4 linked regions of the Rhinolophus ferrumequinum genome follow. The protein of the gene in region 1 interacts with the protein of each later gene in a pairwise test. Links are inferred from orthologs where the notes say so. Each region holds a gene or a part of one and is shown in the gene's direction. Other genes may lie near its edges.

Region 1 (7,100 bases):
GAGCACCCAGTGCAGGTGACCAGGGAGACTGTGACACTGGGCTCCACAGGGTACCTACTACATAAGGACACCCAGCCAAGACTGCGAGACATAGCAAACCTACCTAATACATAGAAACAAACACAGAGAGGCAGCCAAAATAAGGAAACAAAAAAATACGTCCCAAATGAAAGAACAGGAGAAAGCTCCAGAAAAAGAACTAAACAAAATGGAGACAAGGAACCTACCAGAATACAGAGTTCAAAACAATGCTCATAAGGATGCCCAAGGAACTTAGTGAGAACTTCAACAAAGAGACTGAAAGCATATAAAATAACATAGAAACCATAAAAAAGAACCAGTAAGAAATAAAGAACACAATAACTGAAATGAAGACTATACTAGAAGGAATCACCAGCAGACTAAATGAAGCAGAGGATCGAATCAGCGATATGGAAGATAAGGCAGCAGAAAACACCCGATCAGAGCAGCAAAAAATTATATTAAAAAAAAAATCTTAGAAAATAAGGATAGTTTAAGGGGCCTTTGAGACAACATCAAGCACACCAATACTTGCATCATAGGAGTGCCAGAAGGAGAAAAGAGAAAGAAGGGATTGAGAACGTATTTGAAGAAATAATGACTGAAAACTTTCCTAACCTGGTGAAGGAAATAGACATACAAGTCCAGGAAGTGCAAAGAGTCCCAAACAAGATGAACCCAAACAGGCCCACACCAATTCATATTATAATTAGAATGGCAAAGGTTAAAGACAAAGAGAATCCCAAAAGCAGCAAGAGAAAGGCAACTCGTCACTTATAAGGCAGCTCCCATGAGACTGTTAGCTGATTTCTCAACAGAAACTTTGCAGGCCAGAAGGGATTGACATAAAATATTCTACATGATAAAAAACAAGGCCCTACAACGAAGATTACTCTACCCAGCAAAGCTATCATTTAGAATCAAAGGACAGGTAAAGAGCTTCCCAGACAAGAAAAAGCTGAAGGAATTCATTACCACCCAACCAGTATTAAAAGGACTGTTAGAGGGACTTCTTTAAGAAAGGGGGAAAAATCAAAATTATGAGTAATCAAATGATAATTGCTACATATCTATCAACAATTACTTTCAATGTAAATGGATTAAATGTTCCAATCAAAAGACATAGGAGGGCTGAATGGATAAGAAAACAATATATACTGCCTACAAGAGACTCCCTTCAGACTGGAAGATACACAGACAAAAAGTAAAGGGATGGAAAAAGATATTTAATGGAAACGAAAACAAACAAACAAAAAAGCTGGGGTAACAATACTTATACCAGACAAAATAGACTTTAAAACAAAGGCTATAACAAGACACAAAGAAGGACCCGGTAATCTCACTTCAGGGTATTTATCTGAAGAAACCCAAATGCTACTTCAAGGGAATGTGTGCATCCATATGTTCATTGCAGCATTGTTTACAATGGCCAAGATATGGAGACAACCTGGGTGTCTGTTGATGGAAGAATGGATACAGAGGAGCTTATACATATATATGGAATATTGCTTGGCCAAGGAAGGGAATGGGTTCTTGCCATCTGTAGTGGCCTGGATGGACCGAAGGGATATTATGCTGAGTGGGGTGTCAAACAGAGAAAGACAGATGCAATGTGATTTCATTTACATGTGGAATCTAAAGATCAAAACAAACAAACAAAACAGAAACAAACTCATAGACACAGAGAACATATTGATGGTTGCCAGATGGGAGAAGGGTTGGGAGTGAGTGAAAAAGGGGAAGGGATTAAGAAGTACAAATTAGTTGTTACAAAGTAGTTATGGGGATGTAGGGTATAGAATAAGGAATATAGTCAATAATCTTGTAATAAGTATGGTGTCAGGTGGGTACTAGATTTGTTGGGGTGATAGATGGGAGAGGGTTTGGGGCAGAATGAAAAAGGTGACAGGATTAAGAACTACAAACTGATAGTTACAAAACAGTCAAGGGAATGTAAAGTAAAGCACAGGGAATATAGTCAATAATACGGTAATAACTATGTGTAGTGCCAGGTGAGTCCTAGACTAGGCAGGGGGATCACTTCTTAAATTATACAAATGTCTAACCACTATGCTGCACACCTGAAATTAATATAAACTAATATTGAATGTCAACTATAATTGAAAAATTTTTAAAGGGAGAAAAGGTGAAGGGGAACAAAAGGTCCAAATCTCCAGGTATAAAACAAATAAATCACGGGGATGTAATGTACAGCATACGGAATATAGTCAACAAGATTGTGATAACGTGGTACGGTGTCAGATGGTTGCTGGACTTGTGGTGATCATTTCTTTAGGTATATAAATGTTGAATATATGGTGCACACCTGAAACTAATAATATTGTATGTTAGCTATATTTTAATAAAAATCTTTTTAAAAACTTTTTAAAAAGAATATAATTGGCAACCTCAAAAATGGTTTTTAGGTATAGTTACAGAAGTGGAAGTCAACTACGTGGAATTAAGCAGGAAATAGATGATAAGAAAATTGAGGCAGTACACTATAGTCGTGTGACTCTGTCAGTGAAACAAGAGAAACAGTATTACAGCTATAGTGGGCTCAACAGGAAGATGTGAAGGCGTCTTCCAAGTCAGGAAGATCTACACCTTTGAAGAAGAGGACCCAGAGTTTCTTCCTATAAGGGTGGATGTGATGCTATGATTCTTTTGTAGAAATGGACATAGATTATGGCAAATGTACTTATTGTGAAGATAGACATCTGTGAAGAGAGAGTGCTTTTCCACATATAAATCTAAAATGGACAATAAAAGAAAAACAAGATTACTAATTATATATTTTCTGTCCCATATTTCTGGAAAAACAGGCTTATATGAAAGACACATGTAATATTTTTGTCCTGTAGAGTCATTCTATTGGAGTTATCTTAAAAAGAAGTGGTTGTTTTTGTCACCACCATAAATAATAAAAGAACACAAATATTATCTGCTGTTCCTTATAATACCTTTAGGAACTAATCTTTCAGACTTTAACAACAGCCACTCTTTCTGTGGTTGCTGTTTCAGTAAACCAAGCATGAATCCAAGCTAATTTTATTGCCTGCTGGGCCTGCATTTTCCCAGCCCTAATGTAACAAAAGGGCACAGCAACACAAAAAATACAGTGTTTTCTTATTCTTGATATACTAATGTCTTTCTCCATGCTTGCACCTGTTCTAATTTAGTTCAACTATAGGCTGTATCATGAAGACTGGTTAGGAAGTTACTCGGAATTAGGGGGTTTTGAACAGATTTCACATCATATTATCATTTGTTATTAAATTCACTACCCTGAATCTTTAAGGGTTATTCTATCTCACTCACCATTTTATAATTCTTAGTGTCCCCCACTTGGCACTTTGTGTCCCAGGCACCATACTCTGGACAAAGCAGGCACCTAAGATTGGTCCTGTATCTCAGCAGGTGCATGCTGCCTTCAGGCAGTCACCAAGTCCTGTGGCGGCAGCAAATAGTTAAGAGCTTCCACTGGGGATGGAGAAATCCCTGAAGGTTGTTAAGTAAAGGAACGGAGAGCTTCTTGAGGGCAAGGACAAAGTCTTGTCCAGGGATTACCCCAATTTTATCTCAGCATGATATCTCCAACACTAGATTCAGTCCTGTACACAATAGATATCAATAATTTTGAAAGAATGAAGAAACAACAGGCCCGGCGGGGGCCTGCAAACATAGGCAACCGAATGCCATCCAGGCGTCAGAGAGCAGCTGGGCACAGGTGCTACAAGATGACGGAGCTGTTGTTTCTATTTCACAGATACTGTAATTCTTTGCTACAATTTCCATATTTTGTCTTAAAATAAAGAGGTGGGTTTGAGTTGTTTCTGCTCTTGGTTCTCACGGACTTAACTACAAGCGCGCAGCACTGCTGCGGCCCTGTGGCGCGCCCCTCGCAGCGAACACGACACTCCTTGGGGAGGAAGGAGCAGGCCAAGCTACCCGCACGCCCCGCGGCTATACCGCGGCGGTCCTGAAGGGGTCGCTGTTCCCGCGATAACCTCTATAAAGGCCCCGCCCCGCGGCCGGCGCCCGCTTGCTCCGTTGGGGCCCCGGCCCCACAGGGTCAGAACGCCAGTCTGTTCGTCTTCTGCTCGCCCCCCGCTGCCAGCGGGACGTTAGCGGCCACCCTCGGGACTGGACAGGCCCTACCTCTCGGCCACCGCCGCCGCCGCCCGTCGGGCTCGGAGGCGTGCGTTCTCGCCCCTCGCCCCGCCCTCTCGCTCCCCCTTGACGGAAACGACAGCTGCGGCGGCGGAGCTGGCGCCGCCTCCCTCCACCTACCACGTCTGCCCCCGCCACTCCCTGCCGGCGCCCCAGCCCGGCCGAGGCGCCTCCGCCTCCCCGCTAGGTCAGCCGGCAGCTCCGCCCGGCTGCCGCCCAGGATGAACATCATGGACTTCAACGTGAAGAAGTTGGCGGCTGACGCGGGCACCTTCCTCAGCCGTGCTGTACAGGTACTGGGGTTGGGCGGGTGGCGGTGAGCCGCGGGGCCAAGGCGGGGACGTCGGAGCGCCCAGCCGGAGGCCTCCGCACCCAGTCTAGCTGACCGCACGGCGGGAGAGCTGCGGCCGGAGGCCCGGCTGATGGGTGCGGCCTGGTGCCCCTGAGGGCCTGGCGTCAGTTTTCTGTACCCCTTCTGCCCACCCTCCGCTCCCGGAAAGCGAGGTGGGGTGGGGACGGAGCCTGGCGTCTCCTCCCGCCCCTGGAGGACACCTTGGGTTCGGCCTCGAGCCGAGGCACCGCACCGCCCGCCTTTCTGACCCCGACGCGGCTGCTCGTGTGACCTCCCTCCTGGGGCGGGCGGAGGCCTCGCGAGTCCCGCGGGGGTAGCAGAGAGACAAACTGTTCTTGCACCACCCCCACTCTTTCCTTTCCTCTCTTTCGCCCTCCCCGCCGAGTGAGTCTAAGAAGGAAGTTTTTTTCCTTTTCCTGCCCTTCAACCCAAAGAGCTGCCAACACAGTTCCTTCCAGCCCTCTCTCTCCATGAAAGGACGGCCCCTGGGCTTGGCAGCCCGCGGGAGAAATGGAGATCGCCAGTTGGCGTCCCGACTTTGCCAAGGCCAAGGGGAAACAAGGAGTTTGGGGCTTTCCACTCATTCTCAAAATGGGAAGCACCGGCAGTAGGGCGAGGAGAGCGAGGGGAGAGATTTATGTTGTGCCTGTAGTCACAGCGGTCTGTTTCAAACACACTTTAAGGGGCAAAGTTAAGCATCTCGAGGACCCCCACAAGGAAGTGTCAGTACTGGAGAACTTGGACAGTTTCCTACATCACCCACATTATGTCAACTCAGTGAAATCTATGAACAGATGTAAATTTCACCGCAACATGGGTTATAAACGATCTGGTGTTTAAGTTAATGACATAGTCACAGTAGCAACAGCATTCTCCTTTGTAAAGAGAAAACAAGTTTTCTAATACGGGTATCAAATGGATACTGAAATGTAAAACAGTTGTATTGCTTTACTACTTTCCTTGTCTCCATTACCCCAATTTTACTGGCACAGTGGATCTTACATTGCACTAGGCTTGGCAAAAGCATGGTAGAACTAGAACAAGGTACTAGCTGCCTGTGTTGTGAAAAAACTGTCACACATTTCGCTAGACATTTATCGAATTATCTCCAGTCCTTTCTGTAACTTTGCCAGATAGATGTTACTAACGTTAACCTCCTTTTATATATAAAGAAGCAGCCTCAGAGAGGTTAACTAACTTGCTTAACTTGCATGGCTAGTAAATAGCCGAGTACTTGCTGACCTACTACTTATTGCAAGCCACTTCTCTCTTCCTGGATAAACACTGCAGGTTTAGGATATATAGAATAATAGAATGTTACAGCCTAAAGAGACCTTCAGGATCATCTAGTACGATCTAAGCATTTCCGATCTAAGCATTTCCGTAACACTTAAGTAACAATTAAAAAATGGGAAATTCCTTCTAGTTCTTGATTTCCAAGTTTTAAAATCTGCATGGTGAATCTAGCTGCCTTAACCCTCTCTCCCCCATCTTCCATTAAAATATAAGATACATTGTAAAGACATTGAACCTTATCGTTAAAATAATTTCTTGATTTAAATTAGCCTACTTAAAATAGTTCAAAGACAAGGTACAAGAAGAGTGAGTGAATTGAGAGTCTGAAATTAAGTTTGATTTTGAGACTTAATGTTGACGGCAAAAGAGGCAGGAGAGAGGCAGAGCCTTTGGTATTGCTTTAGTGCTGATTCCCTATGATTCTAGATGCTGAATGCAGATTTTACACTATATAATGCCACTCTTTTAGATAGCTAGATACGTTTTCAGGTATATAATCCACACTGCTTAAATAGTACACATAGTAGAATTTTCTTTAGCTTGTCAGTAGACTCACTTTTTAAAATCTGGCAAAGCTCTCACAAGATGTACTACTTTCCAGATGAATTATAATTACTCATTGTTTCAAATTCTTTAGGAAAAAGCTTTTAAATTGTATTCTAATCTGTGAACTGTCGAATAATTTTGAGTCTTAAAAACTTAAGTGTTTACTTCATGTCTGCTTATCCCTACTATTTTGGACATTGGTGATACTGCAGTGAATAAAATCAACAAAACATCTGCCCTTCCAGAGCTTACAATCTAGCAGGAGATGACAAACGAGTGAATACATCAGGTGGTGATGGAGAAAAAGGCCAGAAGGGATTGGTTAATGGCACAGGTGGCAGCTGTTGCCATGTTGTATAGACATGATCAGGGCAAGCCTTTCTAATAGGAGGGGACCTCAAGGAAGTCACAGTTCACAGTTTTTTTGGAGAAAAGCACTTTAGGCAAAAGGAACAAGTGCAAAGACTCTGAGGTTACAGGGGTACTAGGCAGACCCGTTAGGGAACTATGGCCATAGGACAGGCAAAATGTGACTTAGTAAGAGTGATAGCAGGGAAGATTCAGAATCTATCCAGTACTCCTTAGACTGACTCGGGGGTATGAGAGGAAGATAGTCAAGGATGACCCCAAGGTGTTGACTTGAACCATTTAATAAGAAGGGAAAAAATTCAGGAGGAACAGGTTCCTTTAATATGTGTTTTTATAGTAAATC
Region 2 (7,696 bases), on another chromosome or scaffold:
TGGAATCAGATGTTGATTCTTCCATTTATTAGTTGTGCTGTCTTAGGTGAGTTACTTAACGGTTTTTACTCTCAGAGTCCTCATCTGTAAAATGGGAATAATATCAGTACCTATCTTATCTTTACCTCATAGAGCTATTATGAGGATTAAAAGATAAAACGGATAAGATATGGAAACTGTATCACACAGTAACTGACACAAATTAAGAAATTAATAAATATAGCTGCTATATCGCTCAAGAGTCTTTCAGTTGGAAGTGACTGAACCAAAAGAGAATTTATTGGCCTGAATAATTATATCAAACAATGCCTTATGGGCCAATCTTTCTGTCTATGATCTCAGCTGGACTTCCAAGGATGGGTAGTATCTGAATAAGAATTAAGAGGCACTGAGCTTTTAAATATGACACAGTTTCAAGCACTTTGCATGGGGTTATCTCATTTAATCTTCACAGCATCCAATGAGGCAGGTACTATAATCATCCCATTTTGCAAATGAGGAAACTAGGACACAGAGAGGTTAATAGCTAGAAAGTGGCAGGACTGGGAATTGAGCCCAGCTGTCTTACTTCAAAACCTTTGTGCTTAACCACTACACAAACTTCCTTTGAGAACATTAAAGGGTAAATATGTGAAGAGGATAAGGAAAGTTTCAAATAAGAAAAAATAAGGTATGAATATTTTGACTTCTGATGTTACTAATGAGTTCAATACAAAATTGTAGGTTAATTTATCTTTGCACCCACAGCATTTAACTAGTAGGCACACAAACAGCAACTAATACATGTTTGACAAAGGAATTAATTACTAGCAATCTCCATTACCTTCTGCCTTCTCCAGTTTACTTACTTTATTGTTTACTTATTTTATCTTTTTCATTTGTAAACTAACTACCCACCTCACTCATAAGTAGTAGCCAATAAACTTACACACATAGTTATTTCATTTTTTAAAAATCAAGAGAATAGTAAGCATCCTTATATAAAAACATCAGAGAGAATTTTCTAACATTGAGTGGTTTCCTGGAAAACAAAAATTTTCACCTTCTTTGGCGCCCTCTTGTGCTTTGTGGTGGAAAGTAATCAGGACTGCTGATGCATTCAGGAAACTGAATCTGGGTTTATTTTCTACACCCAGGACACACACACACACACACACACACACACACACACACACACACACAACCTTACAGATTAAACTTTTGTTTTCCCTCTCTGCATGTACTCTAATTAGTGTCAGGAATTGTAAAATGTTGTGTCACCTGGGTTTCCCTAGTCCCACTAGGCCATAATTAACCTTATCAGTTTGAATTTCCTTCAGTTCCTATTCCTAGAGACTCATACAACACACACACACACACACACACACATCCCAACTCTCTGAATTCCTTGAGAAGTTAAAGCTGCAGGTTCTCTTGGGAAGAAGAAAGCATACCCACTCTCCTCTCACTTTTTCTTCACTTAAAGGGGCCCTCGAAGCTGTGCTGATTGTTCTTCAATGTTTTGCAGAGCTTTTTGTTTGTTCACTAGTGAAATAGGCCTTTTAGCTTTTCAAGTCTCCCTGTGCCCCATAGGACTTTTACGTGGGACCCCTGGAAAGGAACAGAGGCTTAGATAGGAAGTGCAAATAACAGCTCCCTCATTGCCTTGGATCAGGTGTCGTGCCTCAGAAAATGGATGAACAGGCTGCTATTTTGGAAACTTAGTCTTAAGCTGGAACCTGCATTATATTTCCATGAAACTGAATAATTAGTGATAACATTAAAATTATTAAAATAATGGCTGACTCATCTAGTGCTTAGTAGATACTAAATACATTACTCAGTGCTTTACATGCAGTATCTCACTTCATTTTCACAAGGCCCCTATGAAGTAAGAAATGTTATTATCCCCATTTTACAGATAAGGAAACTGAGGTTTAGAAAGACTACATGTTTTGAGAGACACTACAGTTTTGAGAGAATCTGATTGGTGTGGTTGTTTGAGCCAGAAGACTGTATTTCCTATGCTGGCTCTACCACTTTCTAACTGGGTGACTTTTGGTGAGCTGTTTAACCTCTCTGTGCCTCAGTTTCCTTATCTATAATAATAATCCCTGCTTCATAAGGATATTGCAGTTATTAAATGAGCTAATACATACAAAGTGATTAATGGTACTTGGAATATATCAACTGCTATATAAGTGCTTTTTAAAAAACTGGAAGTGAAGTCCAGGTTGCTTCAGCTTACTCTATGGTCTTCCTAATGAAAAGACTATGTATCTATTCTCCTTAGGGATATTATTGGGAAATGGATCTTAATAACATGTTCTGCCATGGTGAATTTCTCCTTTCACTGTGCAGCAGAATCATTTGAAGAGCTTTAAAAACCACTGATCCTGATTCTGTAGGTCTAGGGCACGACCCTGGCATTGTTATTTTTCTAAAGCTTCAAGAAATGCCCATGTGTAACCAGAATTGGAAGTCACTGCCATAGTACTTAGATGTTTACAAAGTTCTTTTCCATAATAATATACTATTTATTCCATGTTTACTACATGATAGGTACTAAGTGCATTAATTTGGATCATCTCATTTAACCCTTCAATAGAAACTTTATAATTTAGGTAATTATTATCATTTATACTTATAAATGGGAAAACCAACACACAGAAAGTGTAAGGAACTCACCCAAAGTCACTTAGCTAGCTGGTGACAGAGCCAGGATTTTAAACCAGGTGGTCTGATGCCATGGCCTGTACAGTTAACTGCCAGCCTATACTGCCTTCCCATGTGGTGTCTAATTTGAACTTTGTTATAAATCTGTGCAGTCTGCTGGTTTTGCTATTACCCCCAATTTATAGATGAGCAGACTAAAACTAAGGACTTGACCAAATGTACACAGCTAGTCAATGCACTACCTGGGGCTTATAAATGGATCTTCTAATTTGAAGTCCCATGTTCTTCCCATAATGTTGCAGAGAACTTCAAATAACTAAATACGATAGCTATTTTATAAGGTCTTTTAAATGCGTTACTTCCTCCTCTTTCCTGCAGTGACTGCTTTGGTCTATGCCTTCATCCCACAGGTTACTCTGGCAAGAGCTTTAACCAAAAGCCCTCTTCTATCTTTATCCCTTCTCTGCACATTACTTCCAGCTTCATCTTCATTCACTAAGAGTAGAGCTCATCAAGCAACACTTTTTCTTAAAATTTGACTAACATTTGTCCTGTTTGCCATCTGTAGTGGGTTGAATAGTGGCCCCCAAAATGATAGTTATACCTCCTAATCCCGAGAACTTGTGAATGTGAACTTGTTTGGAAAAAAGGATCTTTACAGATGCAGTTAAGCTAAGGATCTCCAGATGAGACCATCCTGGATTATCTGGGGTGTGCCCTAAATCCAAAGACAAGTATTCTTATATGAGACAGAAGAGAAGACATATAAACACAGAGGAGAATGCCATGTGATGACAGAGGCAGAGATTAGACTTTTGTAGCTGCAAGCCAAGCAATGCCTGGAGCCACCAGAAGCTGGAAGAAGCAAGGAAACATTCTCCCCTAGAGCCTCCAGAGGGAACATGGCCTTGCTGACACCTTATTTCAAATTTCTGGCATCTAGAACTGTGAGAGAATAAATTTCTGTTGTTGTAAGCAACCCAGTTTGTGGTCATTTGTTACTTACAGCAGCGGTAAGACACGAATACACCATCTCTTCACTTCTTCTTGACTTTCAGGGCTCATGACATCTCTGTTTTCCCTCGTCATTTGGCCCCATATCTTAAATAAACCCTCAGTTCCATCTGGTGCTCGCTCCTTCGCTGCATGGGACCTTTAGGTTCTTTATGTGCCTTCCTCATGTTGCTTCCTCTTTATTAGAAAGAAGACATGCTATCTCAACAGAATTCCCCCTCAGAAAGGGACTGTCTTTGAGGTGGGGAAGGAGCTGAGCTCTGGCAGGACATGAGGGTGGTGTGGCAGGGCACCCTTTGCCCGTGAGCCCCTTCTCATGTTTTCTACCCACCACCTCTTTAACCCTGCCCTGTGTTGTCTCTATTAAAGAGACTGCCCGAGGCTTACTACTGGCACAAGTCATGCACATCCTCGGGCATCATCTGTAAAGTAAGAATGTTTGACCTCTTAGTCTCCTCTAAGATATAAAGAAATCCATCCATGCAAAAAATGTTCTTGAGCAACTACTAAGTGCTAAACACTGCCCCAAGAGCTGGGGCTACAGCCGTAAAATAGGTGTCCTGCCTTACCTCCCAGGGTAGAGTCTGCCAGGGTTGATGAATACTGTGCTTCCAGTCACTAGGACGCCTAGAGGGGAGGGATGAGGAGTGTGTGCATGTATAGGGACAGTGACACCCAAGAGAGGCAAGGAATCGGTTTGTTTTATTCCTGTTTGGGGTGGTTGGATTTGACATGGTGAATTCGAGATGCAGATTTCCAGCACACATTTGAAATTGCAGGTTTTGAAAGGGATCAGCCAAAGTCAAGTCTGTTGGCTGAGGCCGTGGATGTGGGTAAGCTCAGCCCAGGTGATGAGGAAGAACGCCGAGGAGAGGGTCCTGGAGGTCTCGGAGCACCGTACCTTGCCCGGTGCTGCGCACGTGCTCCTGGGCGGGTGCAACCAGAGCCCAAACTTCTGGTCTGACTAGTGCTCTCTTCCCCAGGTCCCGCCCCTGTGGGCGGGGCTAGCAGCGACCCGAAAGTCACCCGGAAGACTAAGTGCAGTAGGCACGGGCTTGTTCGCCTTCGATACCTGAGGCGGACCTGGGAGGGGCGCCCACCGAATGGGGTGAGAGGACAAGGAACCCTTGGGAAGGAGGGATGCCCGGATGCTCAGGCCTGTGGCACTGAGCGCTGCGGCGGTGGCGGCGCTGCTGGCCGCCCTGGTGGCTGCCTTGCTTCTGCTGCCGCTTGAGGACGCAGGGCTGGGGGCCAGCTCCAGGTAACCCCTCCACGTAGGGGACCGAGCTGGGTCCCCGCCTCCTCCCTCTCTTTCCCCCTCCCTCCTGTCCCCTCTCCCCCGTACCCTGTGGGCGGAGGAAGGAGGGATCCGAACTAAGGGTACCGTGGGGGAACGAGGCCTTTTGGTGCCAGCAGTTTGTGTTCCCTTCCGAGGTGTGGGTTGTCTCAGGTGCTGGGGATGTGCCAAGAAACCCCGCCCTGCAGGTGACTCAGTCCTTTCCCCTGGGCCCAGGCTACGGACAATAACAATCTCTTCCTCCAGCACGAATAAATAATCCTTGTTACCCAGGGTAAGCCAGGCCACCCCTTAAACAGCCGAAGATCAGCACCTGTTGATGTTATTTCTGTAGCATGGCCGAGACAGAGGCGCTGCCGAAGCTTCGGGAAGACTTCAAGATGCAGAATAAATCCGTCTTTATTCTGGGCGCCAGTGGGGAAACCGGCAGAGTGCTCTTAAAAGAAATCCTGGAACAGGGCCTGTTTTCCAGAGTCACAGTCATTGGCCGGAGGAAACTGACCTTTGATGAGGAAGCTTATAAAAATGTGGTGGGTATTGGCGCTGGGACTCAAAAATGTACCAACAGTCATTCTGCGGGGTGAAATATTTCATGCTTAAAGGCTGACCATTGCCCGGCTAATGGAAGCGGCAAGAGCTGATCAGAATGTGCCAAGACTGGTCTGTGAGAGCCCTTACTGAAAGCTGGAGTCCTGGGTTGTGGGCCCAGATCCGCCTCCCTCACTGTATAACGTTGGGCAAAGTCCTCTCAGTCTTGGCACCTGTTAGGCTGGGTGTAGTTTGTAATGGAGGCTGTGGAGACGGAGAACAACACTTCCAGGGTCATTCAATGCTGGGTTCTAGAGGCAGTCCACTTTGCTTGTTTTGTCTCCCTGTCCCATCCTCACTAACGTTAGTGAATCAGAAAATGCTTTGCCAAACAGGGAAGGTCTATGGCTGTGGAAGTGTTGTTCATTCCCTTTCAAGAATTTGCCCTGCCTGACTTGCCAGGGCTGCAGCCTTGTGTCTGTAAGTGTAATATTCCCCTGACTGTCACTTACACTTTCATGGTTAACCAAATGATACACAAATTCAGTCTGGTGCAGATCCCCTAAATATTTGAAGTCTGAGCTTTATAGAAATTCCTTCCCCTGCATTTAAACTGAATTCGTGAACTTAAGTAAATTGAACTATAGTATAATCCCGAGACCCCATAATTGTAGGACTTGGTCCCACAGGTTTCACAGGTAGAACATTCCAGATGGTCTCACAAATAAATGTTCGTGACTCCTGCAGGTCCTATTCAGGTCATTTTGCATATGTCTTTGGTCCACCAGGACTTTTCTGTTTAAAATGGATATCTTTGCTCAGACTTAGGCAGTAACATGTGGGCTTCGTGGTCTGGCTCTATGGGACGTGTCACACACTTCTGGTAATTAGAAACTGAAATCGAGTTCTGTGCTTTGCACGTCTTTTGGTCAGGCACTTTGTGCAAACATCTTTTTCTTCATTGTGTACAGTGCCAGGAAAATTATTTTGAAAGAGTTGAGGGCAGGGAAGGAAAGCAACATTATATTTCAACTCTTGTATGATGGGAATTTCTCAAACTTTCTTTTTTAAGTTTCATGACAAACTTATGAGGTTAGATGGAGGTTCTTAAATTTCAGTGAGCGTGAGAATTACCAAGGGTGCTTATTAAAAGTGCAGTTTCTGACTCAGAAGTATTGGTCTAAGAATAGACCTAAGAATATGCACCCTTTTATCAAGCACCCACTGATTGATTTTAATGCAGGTGCTTCATGGATTGGACTGAAGGAAAGATTATCATTCGCATTTAACTGCTGAAAAACTGAGGCACGTGATAAATAGGCTAAAATTACAGGCCTAGGAATTAGCTGGCCCAAGACTTAGGACCTAGGTCTTTGAAATTCTAAACACCATTCCCTGCCCCCATATTATACCTTATTGGTATCCCTCTTGGCAATATACAGACAGGTCTTTTATTTTTCCAGAGAGAAAATTATAATTGAACGTGACTTTTGAGATCTGGATCACCCCTAGTTCAATTATGTGTACTGTGTCCATATAAGCGCATTGTTGATTTTGAATTTAGATTAATTGCTTTTTGGTGGGAGGAAATGAGCTTGCAAAATTTGATGTTAAGAGGGTAGACTCTTCAGTAATGTTCTTAATTGATTTTTTAAATCTAGGGTATTTTGTCTTTTTAAAAAGGTAACATCAAATTGTATACAGCTGTGTCTTTACTATCTAGAATCAAAAAGTGGTGGACTTTGAAAAGCTGGATGACTATGCTGCTGCCTTTCAAGGTCATGATGTTGGATTCTGTTGCCTGGGTACCACCAGAAAAAAAGCCGGGGCGGTAAGGAAGAACTATATATACCCCGTTCTCTTTTCACTGGCCAGTAATGTCAAAGATTCCTTTCTTGCTCACTCTTTTCCTTTACATTTGCAGTGCTTAAATATAAACAAGCTCTTATCATTTAAGATTTCATATGCTGCCCTATTCTTTGCTGTACTTTGAATAGTGCTGATAAGTTCATCTTTCCCTCAATGTAATCCTTGAGTTCAGGCCTGTGTGCTGGAGACATCATACATATTTACAATGTCTTGCCTCTTGCAAATATTGCTGTCACTATATACCCTGGCTGAGGTAAACCAACTGACTCATGCTGTTAGCAGTAAGCATTTTTTTTCTTCCTTTTTCTTTATAAATGTCTTAAACTTAAAGCA
Region 3 (7,893 bases), on another chromosome or scaffold:
CAATATTTAGGACATACTTATACTCAAAGTATCTGTTCTTTATGTGAAATTCAAATGTAACTGGGTGCTCTGTATTATATCTGGAAACCCCGGGAGGACATTCAACCCTCCTAACCCACTCACTGCCACCTGACCCCTCCCGACCCCCCCACGCCTAAGGACAGCAAATGTCCCCTGCTCTTCCCAACATCGTAGGGGCCGAGTGGGCCGGCAGCGCCCCTGACCCAGACACACAGGGGAGCAGAGAGGGGCTGCTGGCTCTGGAAGCCCCTCCCCAGAGGTTGGGGTCTCTGAGGCAGGCCTGGGTCCTGGGCTCCAAGGGTCTCGCGGGGGGTCGACAAACTCCCTGTTGCAGGCACAGCAACTGTTGAATGAGCCCCGAGTCCAGCTCTTCCCTGGCTCCCCTGGGTGGTGTCTCTCCCTGTCACCTTTGCCCGCAGGTGGACTGGCCCTCTCTGATGCAGTAGAAAAAGGGGAACCCATCAGAGGCCTCTAGAAAAGAGGAAGGTACAGCTCGTGGGTGGTTTCAGGGGAGGAGTGCTCGACCAGGGGCTGAAAATGAGGAACCCTGGCCAGGCAGGACCTACCTGGAGAAGGTCATTGCCTCTGCTGGAACCAGAGGAAACAGGATCCAGACCAGACGGGGGTTTCCAGCCTGCACTCACCCCCTTTCCTGGGAAGGAAGATGTGGAGGGATGGGGGACGCAAACCATGAGCAAACAGCCTGGGGGCTCCAGCAGCAGCCCCACCAGCTGGCCTCTGCTGCTCTCCAGGGTGGTGCAGAGTGGGATTTCCTGGGGAGCTCCCTCGCACTGGGAGAGCTGGGGGCACCTAGCATAGGCCTGGGCAGGGAACTGCTACCCCAGCCTTCTCCTGGACACGACTACATAGTCTTTGCCAACTCTCACACAGCCTGATCCCACAGCTGCTTCTGCCTGCCCGGCTCCCTTCCCAACCGCGCAGGGACCTCCAGAAGTTGGGGAAGGTCCCACAGCAAGCTTGGTCCAGGGTCCTGGGAAGCCCTGCATTTTCCCCAGTGAGACCCCGGCCTCCGCTCAGGAAGAGGTTAAGGCTGTCAACTTCTGGCCTGTCTATCCACCTTCAGTTTGAGGAGGAGAGGTGCGCTCAAGGTGTGGGTGGCATGGGACAGGGGAAGATACAGGCGGAGGAGGGCCTGGGAGGGGTGTGGCCGCCATGGGCTGGAAGGCTGTGTCCCAGGGGCGGGGCACAACTTGAGGGCCCCCACACCTGGGAACCCTTTGTGAGCCCATCACTGGGTGTCGCGTCTCCCCCCAGCAACAGTGACTCACAAAGCCAGCCTCTTCTGGGCCCTTGAAGGCCCAGGTCACAAAGGCCATTAAGACCAAGCCCTGAGGAGGCATGTCCCAAGACAGCCCCGCGGCGGGCTGGGCCTGGGCCTCCCACCTCGACCCCGGCCCAGGGACCGGGCATTAGGGTTAGCGAGGAGCACCCAGTAGCTTCGACGCCCATGTGTGTGGTCTGCTTCGTGAAGGCGCTGGTGCACGTGTTCAAGATCTACCTGTCCGCCAATTACACCTACAACTTCCGCAGCTGGCCGGTGGACTTCCGCTGGGATGACGTGCGCGCCGCCGGACCGGGTGGCAGCGTTTACGGCGCGCTAACATGCGCGGCGGCTGCAGCCGGCGTGTGGCTGCTGCAGGGAGCGGCGCTGGGTGGGGACGCGCCTGGGAGGCCAATGCGGGGGGCGCGCAGCCAGGCGCTCTGCCTCCTGCAGCAGATCCGCGAGCTGCCGGCCCAGCTTGCCAGCTACGCACTGGCCCACTCCCTGGGCCGCTGGCTCGTGTACCCCGGCTCCATGTTCCTGATGACGCGCGCGCTGCTGCCGCTGCTGCAGCAGGGCCAAGAGCGCCTCGTGGAGCGCTACCTCGGCCGGCGCGCCAAGCTGGTGGCCTGTGACGGCAACGAGATCGACACCATGTTCATGGATCGCCGGCAGCACCCGGGCAGCAGCGGTCGCGGCCTGCGCCTGGTCATCTGCTGCGAAGGTAACGCCGGCTTCTACGAGATGGGATGCCTGTCGGCGCCGCTGGAAGCCGGCTACTCGGTGCTGGGCTGGAACCACCCGGGCTTCGGGGGCAGCACCGGCGAGCCCTTCCCTCAGCACGACGCCAACGCCATGGACGTGGTGGTCAAGTACGCGCTGCACCGCCTGCACTTCCCGCCTGCACACGTGGTGGTCTATGGCTGGTCCATTGGCGGCTTCACGGCCACCTGGGCCACCATGACATACCCGGAGCTGGGTGCACTGGTCCTCGATGCCACCTTCGACGACCTCGTGCCGCTGGCCGTGAAGGTCATGCCCCACAGCTGGAAGGGACTGGTGGTGCGCACCGTGCGCGAGCACTTCAACCTCAATGTAGCAGAGCAGCTGTGCCTCTACCCCGGGCCGGTGCTGCTGCTCCGGCGCACGCAGGACGACGTGGTCAGCACTTCGGGCCACCTGCGCCCCCTGCCGTCCAGCGACGTGGAAAGCAACCGCGGCAATGAGCTGCTACTGCGCCTGTTGCAGCACCGCTACCCGGCTGTGATGGCGCGTGAGGGCCTCGCCATCGTGACTCGCTGGCTGCGCGCTGGCAGCCTGGCACAGGAGGCCGCTTTCTACGCGCGCTACCACGTGGACGACGAGTGGTGCCTGGAACTGCTGCGCTCCTACCGCGCGAGCTGCGACGACAAGCAGGAGGACGAGGAGGCCTGGGGGCCCCACGGGCTCGCCTTCCCGTGGCTCGTGGGTCAGGGCCTCAGCCCACGGCGGCGCCGGCAGCTCGCGCTGTTCCTGGCGCGCAAGCACCTCAAGAACGTGGAGGCGACTCACTGCAGTCCGCTGGAGCCTGAGGACTTCCAGTTGCCCTGGAGGCTGTAGCCCGTCCCCTTGCAGCGCCAGACTGCATATTCGCACACCTTCTGGGCCTCAGGTCCGTTCTCCTCCCCACACACCGACCAGTGAAGCTGGTCCCGCCTGGGGATCCCGACCTGGTGTCTGGGGGAGGGGAGGGTGTTCCCCACTCCCTTCTTTCTCTTCCTCCCTCGAACACTTGTGGATGTCCCAGTCTGCTCTCAACCCCTAAAGGGAATGCAAAGATTAAGCTGACCCAACTATTGGCAAGCTGTGTGATGGGTGCCTTGATCACCTCAAAAGGATGGTGGGAGCCCTAGGCCGTGCCCTTCACCTGGCCTGAGTTACAGGCTGGCTCTGGGAAGGACGGTGTGGAAGGGTCTGTGCAAGTCGCCCCCAGCTGTAAAGGACGTTGGCATCGGAGGTGTATAGAGCAGGTCTTAGCAGCTGCACCTTCCTGGAGTGTGATGCTGCTGCTCCGTAGTGTCCCCTCCCCCCTCCGCTCCTAGCTTCTACCAGAGGCATGCACAGTCTCTGTGGGACCACAGTCTCAAAGGAACAGGTACACACAGCGGCAAGCCCACACAGGGCTGCAGACACACCTGCACTGCCACTCACTGCCGAGCACCTCCTTGAGCCAGACCTGGACTGGGCTTTGTTCCTGGCTCAGGGATGCAATGCAGAAAGAGACAAACTCTCTGCTCACCACCACTTGTCATAGAGTTGCTTCCTTGCCATCTGCCCTGAACGGCATGAAGCAGGGACTGCTTGCTGGGTGTCCCTTGCCTCTGGGGACAAGGGCTGGCCGGGGTGGGTTGAGAAAGAAACTCTGGAAAAACTGAAAAAGGTAAGTGGGGCGCACATATGAGTAACTGATCACACCAGCACAGGGTACAGCCATGATGCACCTTGGCCAGTGAAAGCAGAGGCAGGTACTTAAAGTGACCAAAGTACCAGGAAGATGTCTGTGATGAGGAGGTGAGCTTTGAGCTAAGACAGGAAGAGGAATTAGTCAGGAGGTGAGGGAAGGGGCTTGTGTGCCTAGGGATCAGAGTGGCTCGGTTGCAAGGAGAGTAGTTCCAGAAAAGTCAAATCCTGAAGGGTCTGAATACCATTGAAGGATTTGCTTCCAGGGGCAATTAGGTGACAAAGATGGTAAGTTGTGGGACTTGTCTCAGGGAGACAGACAGGTTGCCAGACAGTTACACATATCTCCTATGAGAAGTTAGGCCAACTCTCATTCCAGAGTCTGCTGGAAGCCCCTCAACTAGCTGAGTGACCTTGGGCAAGTGACTCTAACCTAAGTGTCCTCATCTGTAAAGCGGGGAGGGCTCCACCTGGTTCAACCCGTGGCTGTGAAAAGGAACTGCGAGAACACCGGCCGAACGCTGCACAGGGCCGGAGCGCTTCCCGGCAGGCGTGCTCATGCCCTGCGCGTGCATGACGCCCGGTGCCCGCCCGGGAACCTAGACGCCTCCAACCAGGTGAGGGCAGCGGCGCTTGCAGCGCAAGAGGACGGATCGTGGTCACGTCTTTTTCTACGCAACCCCCATACAATAAAAAAATCTCCGTAAATGGACGGACTAAACAACAACAAAAAGACAGACTGGAGGGAAAGGCTAACCCCTAAGTCAGGGAGTCGGGCCTTGGAGGGATCGCAAGCGGTCTGAGTTTGACCCGTCCAGCTGCGTGTGCTGTGGCGCTCGTAGGGAGCGGCAAGCATCCCCGAGACCTCCACAGGGCGGGGGTGGAGAGGCTCCACGGCGCCATGTTGGACGATCTTCCCACTTCCCACCTTCCCAGGGTTCCTTCGGACCGTTCTACCTGTGCGTCTCGCTGGTGGAGCCGGCCTGGGAGGGATTCCTGTCCGGCTTCGTTCTCAGCCGTGACCAATCGGGTTGGAGCGGATGAACAGGGACTGGGCCAAGCAACGCCCTTATTGGACAGCGCTGGTGAGGGCGGGACGAAGGCGGAGCGCACGTCAAAGCGGAAGTGGGCCGTCGCCTCGCTGATTACGTAATGTCGCGGCGGCTGAGGCGGTTCCGCTGGCTGGTGTGTGCGCGGCGAGCGACTCCCAGTGCGGCCCGCTCAGCTACTACAGCGCCCGCGACCCCGCAGGCCCGTACGCCGCCTGAACATGGACTCTGCTGGCCAAGGTACCCGCGGACGCGGCGCCTCCGTCGCCTGCGGGCCCGGACCGGCCCACGCTCCGCCCTCCCCGGGGTCGCGTCTGGGTCTCTCTGTCACCTCCTCCGCCCGCCCGCCCCCGGCCGGTGGTCAGCTCCCAGGCGCTCGACCGCGAAGCTCCCGGTGGTCGTGGCGAGGGTCTTCCGCCCGCGGCTTGGGCCGCTTCCCTCCGCTGGGACCCTCCCTTGGTTCCCCGAGTTTTGGGTTTTCTCACTCCGGGCAGCGCTCATTATGCCACCGCCCGGCGCTCGCCCGCTCGGCCGCTCGGCCGCTCTCCGTCCGTGCCCGGGCCTTTGGAGACACTCCCATCTGGATCTGGGCTGAGGTGTTGTGCGCGGCTCGCGGGGAGGGACGCGGAGGGGAGGTGACCCGCCCTCGCGTGGAGCGCAGCGCCCCTTGGGTGGCGACGCCGCTCGGGGCCCCGCCGACTTCGGGATCGTCTCCCGGAGGGAAGGGTGCAGTGAGTCAGGGGCACACCCGGCACACCTGGCCTGCTTCCAGACCAGACAGCCCAGAGCAGTCGGAGATGCCGCCGGGGGGTGTGGAGCGGGCCCGGGAGATTAAAATCTGCAGAAGGTGATACAAGTCAGTCCTCATCCTGAGGCTCCGGGGAGGCGGTGCCGAATGCCTGCGTTGACATAACTTCACGGGAGAATCTCAGCAAGCTTTCCTGCTGTTTGACCTTAAACGTTAGAATCCCTCGCTTCTGATGACATTCTGTAGACTTTCCTACTTTTGAGGACGACTTACAAAATAATTGAGCATGAAAAGCCCAGGGCTTTGATACTTCAGGAGGCTTTTCACGGTTGGACTTGCACCTCTGATTTAGGTCAGTGTCACAAGCCCTGGGCTCTGATGGTGAGACAGACAGGACACAGTAACTGGGCACTTAACTGTGTGCCAGACACCTTGCTAAGCTTGTGTCTCAAATGATCTCCTTCCACTTTCAGAATAACCCTCTGAGAGTAGAGTGTCCTTGTCTTGGCTGCATTTTGCAGATGAGTATACAGGGTTAGACAGCTGGGGCTCCCAGGGTGAAGGACTCTGGCCCCCAGATTTGCCTATGGCACCAGCCCCACGCTTAGTCTCTGTGGGTCCTTTGATAAGACACTTGGCTGCCTCGGCGTCCTCTAAGGAGGCATCTAGCTGCGGGGTGTGCTGAGGTGGTGTCACCAGCATGTCCAGTGCCTGGCATGTTTGGTAAGTGCCCAGTTTCTACCTGGGGGTGACTTCCATGGGATCCAATTTTAGCTTTATAGCCAGATTAGAAGATAAAACCTGTGGCGTTTTTTTTAAGGCATTTACTGAATTTGAGTGGGTTCAGCATAAAGGGTACAAATGATGAAGTCAGGTAGGTGATTTCAGTTAAACATCAGAATCAACTTCATGTAGTAAACACCTGTTGAGCACCAAGGACGTACACAGCTCCAGTTGCAGGACATGTGGGGGGCTAAGAAGGCATCTTTGCTTTTGATTGCACTCAGTCTATATTTAGCAGACTAGGATTTCTACAGTGGACAAACATACCTGCCATTAAGGAGACGTCTACTGCTTTCTAACCTCTGTGCCTTTTCTTTTAACTGATTTTTAAACGTGCCACACTCCGTACAACGTCTGTTTCTTCACAGAGTGTGCTGATCAAAGGGAGGGTGTTTTCAGTGCTGAGAGTGTAAATGTACTAAATGACAGTCGTATGTCTAGAGTTGGAAAGAACTGAGCAGACCCATGTTTCCTTGCATGGGATCTTCCAAAGTTCATGTAGAAAGAAAGCTGAATTTACTGTGAGCTGCAGGAACATGAACCTGATCTGGGCATAGCAGAGGGGTGGAGACACTGTGCCCTCTGCACCCACTGTGAGCTGCGGGCCCTGCCTGTGAGGGCCCAGGATGGACTCACAGGGACTTTTGTTTTGCCGAAACCCTGCGGGGCTGGTGACAAGCGCGTGCTCCATGGCTGTGAGTGTGGTGTGCGCTCTGGCAGATCAGTGTTTGGAAAGTGGTGCTTGTTGTGTGTACAGCCGTATTGGGTTCCTTTGCTCTAAAAATGGCAGATCTGTTAGATCGGGCTGCTTTGTAGCGAAGGTTTCCTGTCTCAGAAGGTAACACTCCACAGGGGAAACAGAGTTAGGGTATGGCTGCCGTGCACCGCGTGTCTCGGGCCCAGAAGCAGCATCGGAGTGGACTGTGGTGTGGCTGCTGCAGTCCAGTGGCCACACAGTCCTCACAGAACCTTTGAGAGCAGAGGCACTGTTAGTCCCCGGCTCCCTCTCCCAACCCCCTGCCCCTTGCCCCTGGCCCCCTGTCCTTTCAGCCTTGCTCTCTCCCTTGGTGGAGCCCTCTACCCTGTTTACTTCTCTGTACCTTCTTACTTGCCGCTCTCTGGCCTCATTTTGTCCCTGGCAGATATCAACCTGAATTCTCCTAACAAAGGCCTGCTGTCCGACTCCATGACAGATGTCCCTGTTGACACTGCAGTGGCTGCCCAGACTCCTGCCGTGGAGGGGCTGACGGAGGCCGAGGAGGAGGAGCTCAGGGCCGAGCTCACCAAGGTGCTGTCCGGGGTTACCAGCAGGCGAAGCCTGTAAGCTCATGAGAGACTGCGATGCTGGCTGTGCTGGCAGAAATTACCCTGAGAGGCTGTCCCTGGAGCCCCAGAGAAACTGCCCTTTGTATCCTGTGCTTTGTACGTGCCTGGCACTGGTCACTGCTGCCTGAGGATGGCCACACAGGGACAGCCACTCCGGGCACACCCTCTGCTGGCAGTCTCTCTGTTGGAATTAATACCATGTTTTCAAGACCCCATGAGTCTTATCTGCCCCTCAATCTTAATTT
Region 4 (7,924 bases), on another chromosome or scaffold:
GTAGGGCGATGGGGCAGGTGGGTGGACAGGGGCGCGACTGGGAAGGCAGAAGACAGGCACAAGGGCAGAGCCGACGGGGACCCCTTTTCTAACACGTGTTTTCATGTCAAGGGTGCTGGGTTCTCACTGTGGGGTGAGAAGCCACTGGCCTGGCTGGGCCTGTGGTTTGCTTTGTGTGAGCCGGGGGCTGGCCATGTGGGCAGTAAGGGAAAGGGGAGCGGGGCGGGCATGTGCAGGAGCTGGGGACGAGGGTGTGGCTCAGAGCTCATGCACAGCAAGGGGACACTCGCTGTGGGAGGAAACTGCCCAGTGACCCTGACAAAGTGACCTACGGGCCCCATGAGGAGGGTTGGTGCAGGGAAGCCCCCTCCCTGCCCCTGCCTGACTCGGAAGTGCCAGATGGGCCCGTTTCTGCAGCCCTGCTCTCCTGGAACTACATCTTTGGTGCTGGAAAGATCTTAAACCCTGACACATACACAGCCGCGAGATCCAGAAGGATGAAGGTCCAGTGCCTCCAGCCACGACTGCAGCCGCTCCTTCGTCCACACCCCTGCCCTTCCCCGAAGGTCTGGCTTCAGGCAGAGGCCTGGCGGTGGGCCCGTGCTCGGCAGCCCGAGCCAGGAGTAACTCCCACCCCTGGGCTGAAGACTCTTGCTTGGAGGAGATGGCGCTGAGTAGAGGCCCATAGCCACACCCGCTTCCTGTGTCAGGTCCAGGCACCTCGGACACCAGATGTGACCTTACCAGACAAAGATGACCGGGCAGAGGAGCCTTGAGACATCAGAGCCAAGGGCCTGTAAAGGGCTGCTGGCCCCGAGCAGCCGTGTCCAGGACGTCCAGCTGTTCTGCTCAGGCATGGCTCTGCCAGTGCCTCTCGCACCTGGGCCCTTGCACACATGGGACCAGCCAACACAGCTGAGTCAGAGGCAGCCGTGGGCTCCCGGCCACACAGGAAGAAGATGCCTAAGCCACGGTCATCATTTCAAAGGAGTATTTTGTAGGCAGGTCCTCTGGAGCCCAGGACACCAGGTAGGGAAGACCTTGGTAGCCCGGGCACCCGCAGAAGCCAGCTCCCACTGGCTCACGTCCTTGCCCTGGACAGGAGGTACGAAAGGATGAAGAACAGCACGACCAGGCCCAAGGCCATGCCGCACAGCAGCTTTCGGTTGTCTCGCCCAGACCGCGTCATTGTGGAAAAGCGCTTCACGCTGCCCGTGAGCAGGCCTGTCACGCTCATGAAATCCGAGTCCTGCGGGAGGAATCCCAGCTGGGTCACACGGGCGCTGCCGTGTGCATGGGGTGGGGGGCTAAGCAGGCAGTACAGGGCAGAGCTGCCCACGACATTCATGCACGTCGCAGACCCTTACCATGCCATCCAGGTACCGGTTCTGGTCCTCAGCATCTCTATCAATGTCCAGGGCCAGCTGGTCAGGACAGAAGGGGCAGGGTCAGGCCAGGGCAGACATACGGGACAGCGCCTGACCCCCGACAAGACCAGCAGACGCTGCCAACAACCCTGCCACCACCAGAAGTCAGGTCCAGATGTCACCTGGCCCTCACACAGGTGACCGCTGCCATGGATGGGACAGAAGGACGGGAAGCACATTTAACCCTTCCAGGACTCTACCCTCCCTCTCATCCCACCTGAGCAGGTCCAGGTGGAGGTAGAAGAGGCCACTACTGACCGATTTGAGCCTGGTGACTTTGGAGGCCAGGCTGTCGGCTATCCGCTTGTTCTCCCGGTCTAGAATCTCCTCCACAGCGCCAGAGCTCTGAGCTGCAGGAAGAGAGAGGCTGAGGGGGACAACCACCCATGAGCCCTTGACCCTGTGCATTGGCCCTTCGTGACCTCAGGACTCCCACTACGATCCCATCTGGCCAAGTGTCATGTCTGGGGGAACGGGGTCCACCTGTTTGTTGAGCAGGTCCAGTTGTACCCCAGGGGCTGGTGCAAGGACTTCGCACATGAGACAGGCTGGGTGACAGTGTGCGTGACCACCTGTTGTGTGAGCGCATGGCCTGAGCACATGTCCAGGCCGGGACAGGCAGGCACCCCCAAAGTGTACAACCACAAACAATTCAGTGAAACTGGCACTTTGGGGTACTATGACACCACCTGTACCATCCCTCCATGGATGTCACCAATGGTGTACATGGGACCTGTTTTACGAGATAAACAGTAAACTGGTGTGGATGTAGGAAAGGTATAGGAGAGGCACCCAGGGGGCAGCAGGAAGGTCCCTGCAGGGGACACCTGTGAACTGGGTCCTGGTGAGGTGACAAGTAACCAGAGCGCCGACAACTGAGCAGTGCTGCCCAAAACAGACCCCAAGGGCAGGGATGACATTTGATCAGGGCTGCGACCCACACAGGGCGTGGTGCCTGCTGAGACCTGCCAGTGACTAGGGCGGGGCCAGGTGATTCGCAATTACCGGCACATCAGGCGTGTGGAAACCACCTGCCCCCCACTTAAGAGTGTACACCTGCCGTGGGGCAGAAGCCTCGACGTGACCCCTCTAATGGGGGAGCAGCCCTGGGAATCACCGATGTGCAGACCCCTAAGGAAAGGGTGTTACGTCCCACCAGCCCCTTCGCGTTCACTGACTCCTAAGGACCAAACAGCTCGGCAAAGCGGCATCAGCATCGGGCGGGGCTCCCCGAGGCCCTCGGAGCCCAGGCCCCAGTCACCACGAGGCCTGCTTCCGCCCTCCCAGCACGCAGCCTCCGCTCCCGGGGGCTGGCCTGCGGCCCGTGCGGACGGTGGGGGCCGTGGCCGTCGGGCCCCCGCAGCTGCGCGATGGGGAAGGGCGGGGACACCCCCGGGTCCGGCGACCCCTCAGGGGCGGCGGGGCGGGGCCGGCTGACGCCTGGTCGGCCCGGCCTGGCTCCGCCCGCCAGCGGGTCAACCCGCCAAAGCCACCCAGCCGGCCGGGCTCTTGCTGGCAGCGGCGTCGACGACGGCCGGGCCGCCGCCACCGGCTCCACTCTCCCGCGCTCACCCCGAGCCCAGTCCGCCATCGTGCGCGGCTCCGGCCCCGGGCTCCGTCAACGCTTCCGCCACAGGCTCCGGCGACGTGGCCGTCACGGGACGGGGCTTCCGGCCCCGCCCCTTCCGCTCGGGCCCGCCGGCTTCCGGCTGAGATCCGGGCCGCGGGGGCCGTGCGGTGGGAGCAGAAGTGGCCTGACTTGCGGACGGGGCGTCAGTGTGTTCCATGCCGGTGAGGGTGTTGACATACACTCGTCACTCTCGCCGAAGGCTGCGTCAGGTCCCAAATGGCCCTTACCCAGGCGAGAGAGGGGCGGCGAGGTCCGGACAGGAGCCGCCCCCGCCCGCCGCGGTGCGGTTAAGGCGCAGGTTCGTGGCGAAGTCCCGGCCCCAGTTAATGCTGGAGGGACGCGGCGGAGATCGGTGCCCGCAACGAGCGAGCGCCGCAGGAGACGTAGGGGTGAAGCGCTCCGACAAGACGGTGCGGCGAGGCAGGGGTGGGGTGGAAGTGGCGGGGACGTGTGGCCGGTAGGAGCTTCCCGCTTTTGCACGCGGGCGTTGCTGACAAAGGGCCTGGCGCAACCGGGATGCCCAACAAAGACTTGCTGCAGGAGTCACCCACCGAAGACATCATTTGCTGTCATAAGTCCTCACAAACCATTGGAATGGGAATTTTTATCACCTGTGCTTTTCAAAAGAGGAGACTGAGTACAGGCCAGGCAGTGTGTCCCGATTACACAGCTGGGAAGTCGCGCCGGACACGTGATCAGGCGCTGCCTTCATCCTGACCTCCCCACACTCCTCTCTCCCCCATGGCCATTCTCCAACTGCCAAGTGGCTGCTCCTGCCTTGAATCACCTTCCCCCACGTCCTTTCCTGGCTCACTTCTTAGCGTCCTGTCTCAGAAAAAATGCCACCGCAGAGCCCTTTGCAGCGCACCACGCAGCCCAGACACGATCCCTTCTCAGCAAACCCCCCCGACCCCCGCTGTTTCTTGTTTGTAACAAATCAGACCCAAGTCCCTTTTTTTTTTTCTCAGACATAAATCAGGCTCCTGGGGCACCAATTCGCCCTGTGGATTCACAGCTAACACACTGACGCGTACCTGGAAGTGTTTTTACAAAACCTCCAACAGGCACGTAAACATCAGGCTAGCTGGCGCCAGAGAACTGATGACCAGAACTAAGATGTCTTTGTAACTCCAGCTCCAACCAATCATATGGTACCCCGGAACTGATAACGTATTGAAGACCCCCTACCCTCCATTTCACCCTTTAAAACCAATTGCCAACAAGCGGACAGGGAGTTCGGGTTCTTCCCGCGTAAGCTGCTGGTTCTCCAATGCATGGCGGTCTACAATAAAGGCTTCCTTCAGGGCAACCCAGTGTCAGTGTAACTGGCTACGCGCAGCGCAGGGGGGAGCAAACCGCTCGGTTACAACCACACGCCTTTCTGTTTTAAATCACAGCACTACGACTGCCTGAAGTCGTCTCGTTTGTCCGTTTTTTCTTGGCTGCCCTTGACTTTTGGAACGTCAGCGCCACGAAGACAGGGACGTGTGGGTCCTGTTTACCCGCATCCCAGCGCCTCGCATGCAGCAGTCACTCGAACACGTAACAAACCAAGTGGTCACAGGGCTGCAAAGTCCTTTTCACCTCGGCTTTGCCCCGACATCGCATTCGTGGGGCGGCTCCAGAGGAGCGCTGTTGTGCGCGTGGTGGGGGTTTGGGGGCTGCGGTCCTCTCCTGCCGGGAATTCCGGCACAAGAAGCGGGGGCAGTCACGAGGCCCCGAATTCCAAACATCACCGAGTCGGAGCTTGAAGCCCGTGCTGACCCGGAGGCAGAGCCTGCCAGCTCCCAGCCCCGCCACCGCCAGGCGCACGCAGCCCAGGCCCCGCCCCGCGGCGGCGCGCACGCCCGTCCCGGCGTACCCCGCGCGAGCTCCGCCCCGCCCCGCGGCGCCGCGCACGCCGGTCCCGGCGACCCCCACGCATCGAGTCAGGGAGAGGCGTTTGGAGTCCGGTCCGGAACCGCGGAGCGTGGCCCCTCCCTCCTTCCCGGCGCCGCGTGCCGGGGGCGCCATGGATCCCGGTGCGGTTGCGGATGCCGTGGAGACGGGAGAGGAGGACGTAATTATGGAGGCTCTGCGCACGTACAACCTGGAGGTGAGCGGAGCCGTGGACGTGGGACGTGCGAGGAGGCGGTGGGGCAGGGTGGGGCACGCGCGTGGCCGGCAGCGGGTGCGTGAGTGTGGGAGGGAGCGCGGAGGGGCGGGGCGCAGAGTCTACGAGGCGTTGCTGGGGGGCGAGTCGGGGTGCGCGCCCCGGGAACAGGTGTGTAGGGGTGGGGCTCCTTTGCAGAGGGGTCCCTGCGGCCTCAGGGCCCTCCTGGGAACCCGGGCCCTGCCCGTGTGCACCTGTGCTCCCTGAGTCTTTGGGTCTCTCTGCAGAATTCCCAGAGCTTCACGTTTGAGGACGCCCAACAGGAGGACAGGAAGGTGGGTGCTGCCCGAGGGGTGAAGGAGAAGGGACGGGCGGTCGCTGGCCGACACGCCTGCTGCAGCCACTCTTCCCTCCGCCCACAGAGGCTGGCGGAGCTGCTGGTTTTGGGCCTGGAGCAGGGCTTGCCGCTCTCCCGCCGCGTCACCTGGCTGCAGAGCATCCGCATCCTGTCCAGGGACCGCAGCTGCCTGGACCCCTTCACCAGCCGCCAGAGCCTGCAGGCACTGGCCTGCTATGCTGGCATCTCCGGCTCCGCGGGGTTAGCTCCTAAGGCCCTGAACATGGACATTGTCCTCGAGGCCCTCAAGTGCCTGTGCAACCTGGTGCTCAGCAGCCCGGAGGCACAGGTGCTGGCAGCAGAGGCCCGCCTGGTGGTGAGCCTGGCGGAGCGCGTGGGGCTGCACGGGGAGAGCGGCGTCCCGCACGACGTCCAGTTCTTTGACTTGCGCCTCCTCTTCCTGTTGACGGCGCTGCGTGCCGACGTTCGCCAGCAGCTGTTTCAGGAGCTGCAGGGTGTGCGTCTACTGACAGAGGCGCTGGAGCTGACGCTGGGGGTGACCCCCAAAGACAGCACCCCGAGGTCTCTTCCTCCCCAGGAGACAGAGCGGGCCATGGAGATCCTCAAGGTGCTTTTCAACATCACGTTCGACTCTGTTAAGAGGGAGGTGGACCAGGTGAGTCGACCTGCGCGGTGGCTGGTGCTCGCGTAACGCTGCTGGGTAGTCAGCGTGCCTTGCCGACGGGTGTCTGACACAGGGAGGAGGCAGGAGGCAAGGAGACACCAGTTCTGAGGCCTCGAGGAGGGTTTCTGAGGGACGCGGAGGCCAGGGCTCCTAGAGCCTGGCAGGAGGGCTGTGGTGAGAGGCTGCAGGTGACTCCTGCCACCAGAGTGCATGGGGGCTGGGAAACAGTGGGATGCACTCCCAAGGGGCTGCATTGCTCTTTCTGGGGGGCTGGGGCATACACTCAACAAGATGCACGTCACTACACGTGGTCTTGGACTGGGGTAGACACCACGCCAGCTGGCAGCGGTGGGACAACTGTGGCTCTCTGTCACAGGAACCTTTTTCTTTGTCAGGAAGATGCTGCCCTTTACCGGCACCTGGGGACCCTCCTGCGGCACTGTGTGATGGTGGCTGCTGCTGGAGACCGCACGGAGGAGTTCCATGGGTGAGTGTGGGGCCTGTCATCCCGGGAGGGAAGTGTGCTCACCAGTGTAGAAGGTAGCGTAGATGGGGTTCCCAGCCCAGCCAGTGGACCGGGCTCCACCCTGCAGAATCTTCCATCTGAGTGGGACTAGACATCAGTGTGTTTCCAGAGAGCCCGGCACTTGCAATACGTACTAGGATAAGAGCTGTTGTGTGTGGACAGGAAAGTGCCACTGGACCTCGGGTAGTGGCAGTGGGTGGCATGGTATCTACAGGGCGACGTAGTTCCTTACCGCTGTTTTCGGTGCCCTGTGCATAGGCAGACCCTGGTTTCCCAGAGATTGCCTATGATGTTTTAGCCCAGACAGAGGGTGGCAGGTGGGGCATCTGCACAGAGTGCTGCCCTTCTTGGGGACCTACCCCACTGGGCAGGAGTGCCCGAGGTCAGTGCCCCTTCAGCCTCGGTTCCTGGTGCTGCTCCTTAGGTTCATGTTGTGTGGAGCCCAGCAGGGTACACCAAGGGTTGTGCCTGTGCTAGGGGACTGGATTTAGCAGGCCCCCCGCCCCCGTCTGTCCCCAGCCACACAGTGAACCTCTTGGGGAACTTGCCCCTCCAGTGTCTGGATGTCCTCCTCACCCTGGAACCGCAGGAAGGGTCCCTGGAGTTCCTGGGCGTGAACATGGATGTGATCCGTGTCCTCCTCAGCTTCCTGGAGAAGCGTCTGCACCAGGTGGGCAGGGGTCCTGCTGTGGGGGCTGCCCATTGGCTCTGGCTTCCCAAGCAGCTGTGGCCACAGCTTTTGCAAAGTCCACACTGGTGAATGGAGACGGGCTCAGTGCCATGGTTTGGGCCCCCAGCCTCACGGGTCCAACCGGGCAGGAAGCCAGGCCCTCTGCCCTGAGAAGCACACATGCCAGGGAGGTTGACTGTGCAGCTTCCCGTGGAGCGTCTTCAGTCAACCAGAGTGCTTCTTTCTCAGACCTGTGGGGGGCTCCCTCCTGAATGGTCCTGAGAAGCCCCCCAGCCCCTGCTTGGGACTCCAGAGTCTTAGTGTCACTGCATAGGAATTTCTCGGGTACTGGCGTCAACTGTCCCGTGACCCACAGGTGCCTGCATCTGAGCACAGTGGCCGGCAGGGGCTCTCAGCAGCCCTCCGGGAGCTCGTGGATGTGCACGCCGCACAGCACAGACTCTCGGGAACCCACACTCACGTGCATGGTGGGCTAGGCCATGTGCCCAGCAGTGGACACACTAGCCATGACCATCTGTTCCTAGCACTACCGCTGC

Evidence for each region.
Region 2: the proteins of SH3GLB1 (region 1) and HTATIP2 interact in binary tests that used the Homo sapiens proteins (3 or more experiments, as listed by UniProt). The link is inferred for Rhinolophus ferrumequinum from reciprocal best matches to the Homo sapiens genes SH3GLB1 and HTATIP2.
Region 3: the proteins of SH3GLB1 (region 1) and TPD52L2 interact in binary tests that used the Homo sapiens proteins (3 or more experiments, as listed by UniProt). The two-hybrid records come from large-scale screens. The link is inferred for Rhinolophus ferrumequinum from reciprocal best matches to the Homo sapiens genes SH3GLB1 and TPD52L2.
Region 4: the proteins of SH3GLB1 (region 1) and RIC8A interact in binary tests that used the Homo sapiens proteins (3 or more experiments, as listed by UniProt). The link is inferred for Rhinolophus ferrumequinum from reciprocal best matches to the Homo sapiens genes SH3GLB1 and RIC8A.

The regions. Positions count from the first base shown.
Region 1 is NC_046292.1:65,169,250-65,176,349, forward strand, and holds the start of SH3GLB1 (endophilin-B1), read left to right. Parts: upstream 1-4,094; 5' UTR 4,095-4,415; coding exon 4,416-4,487; intron 4,488-7,100. UniProt on the Homo sapiens protein: May be required for normal outer mitochondrial membrane dynamics. Required for coatomer-mediated retrograde transport in certain cells. May recruit other proteins to membranes with high curvature. May promote membrane fusion.
Region 2 is NC_046294.1:34,026,688-34,034,383, reverse strand, and holds the start of HTATIP2 (oxidoreductase HTATIP2), read left to right. Parts: upstream 1-4,679; 5' UTR 4,680-4,772; coding exon of another isoform or gene 4,773-4,777; 5' UTR 4,778-4,817; coding exon 4,818-4,930; intron 4,931-5,239; exon of another isoform or gene 5,240-5,300; coding exon 5,301-5,496; intron 5,497-7,217; coding exon 7,218-7,325; intron 7,326-7,696. UniProt on the Homo sapiens protein: Represses translation by preventing reactivation of elongation factor eEF1A. May also inhibit nuclear import by competing with nuclear import substrates for binding to a subset of nuclear transport receptors.
Region 3 is NC_046306.1:288,528-296,420, reverse strand, and holds the start of TPD52L2 (tumor protein D54), read left to right. Parts: upstream 1-4,876; 5' UTR 4,877-5,012; coding exon 5,013-5,031; intron 5,032-7,464; coding exon 7,465-7,610; intron 7,611-7,893. Other genes in the region: protein ABHD16B, read left to right, coding at 1,490-2,902.
Region 4 is NC_046294.1:33,251-41,174, forward strand, and holds the start of RIC8A (synembryn-A), read left to right. Parts: upstream 1-4,918; 5' UTR 4,919-5,068; coding exon 5,069-5,152; intron 5,153-5,436; coding exon 5,437-5,484; intron 5,485-5,571; coding exon 5,572-6,162; intron 6,163-6,566; coding exon 6,567-6,658; intron 6,659-7,216; coding exon 7,217-7,367; intron 7,368-7,924. Other genes in the region: BET1L (BET1-like protein), read right to left, coding at 1,082-1,249, 1,368-1,424, 1,686-1,794, 3,000-3,214.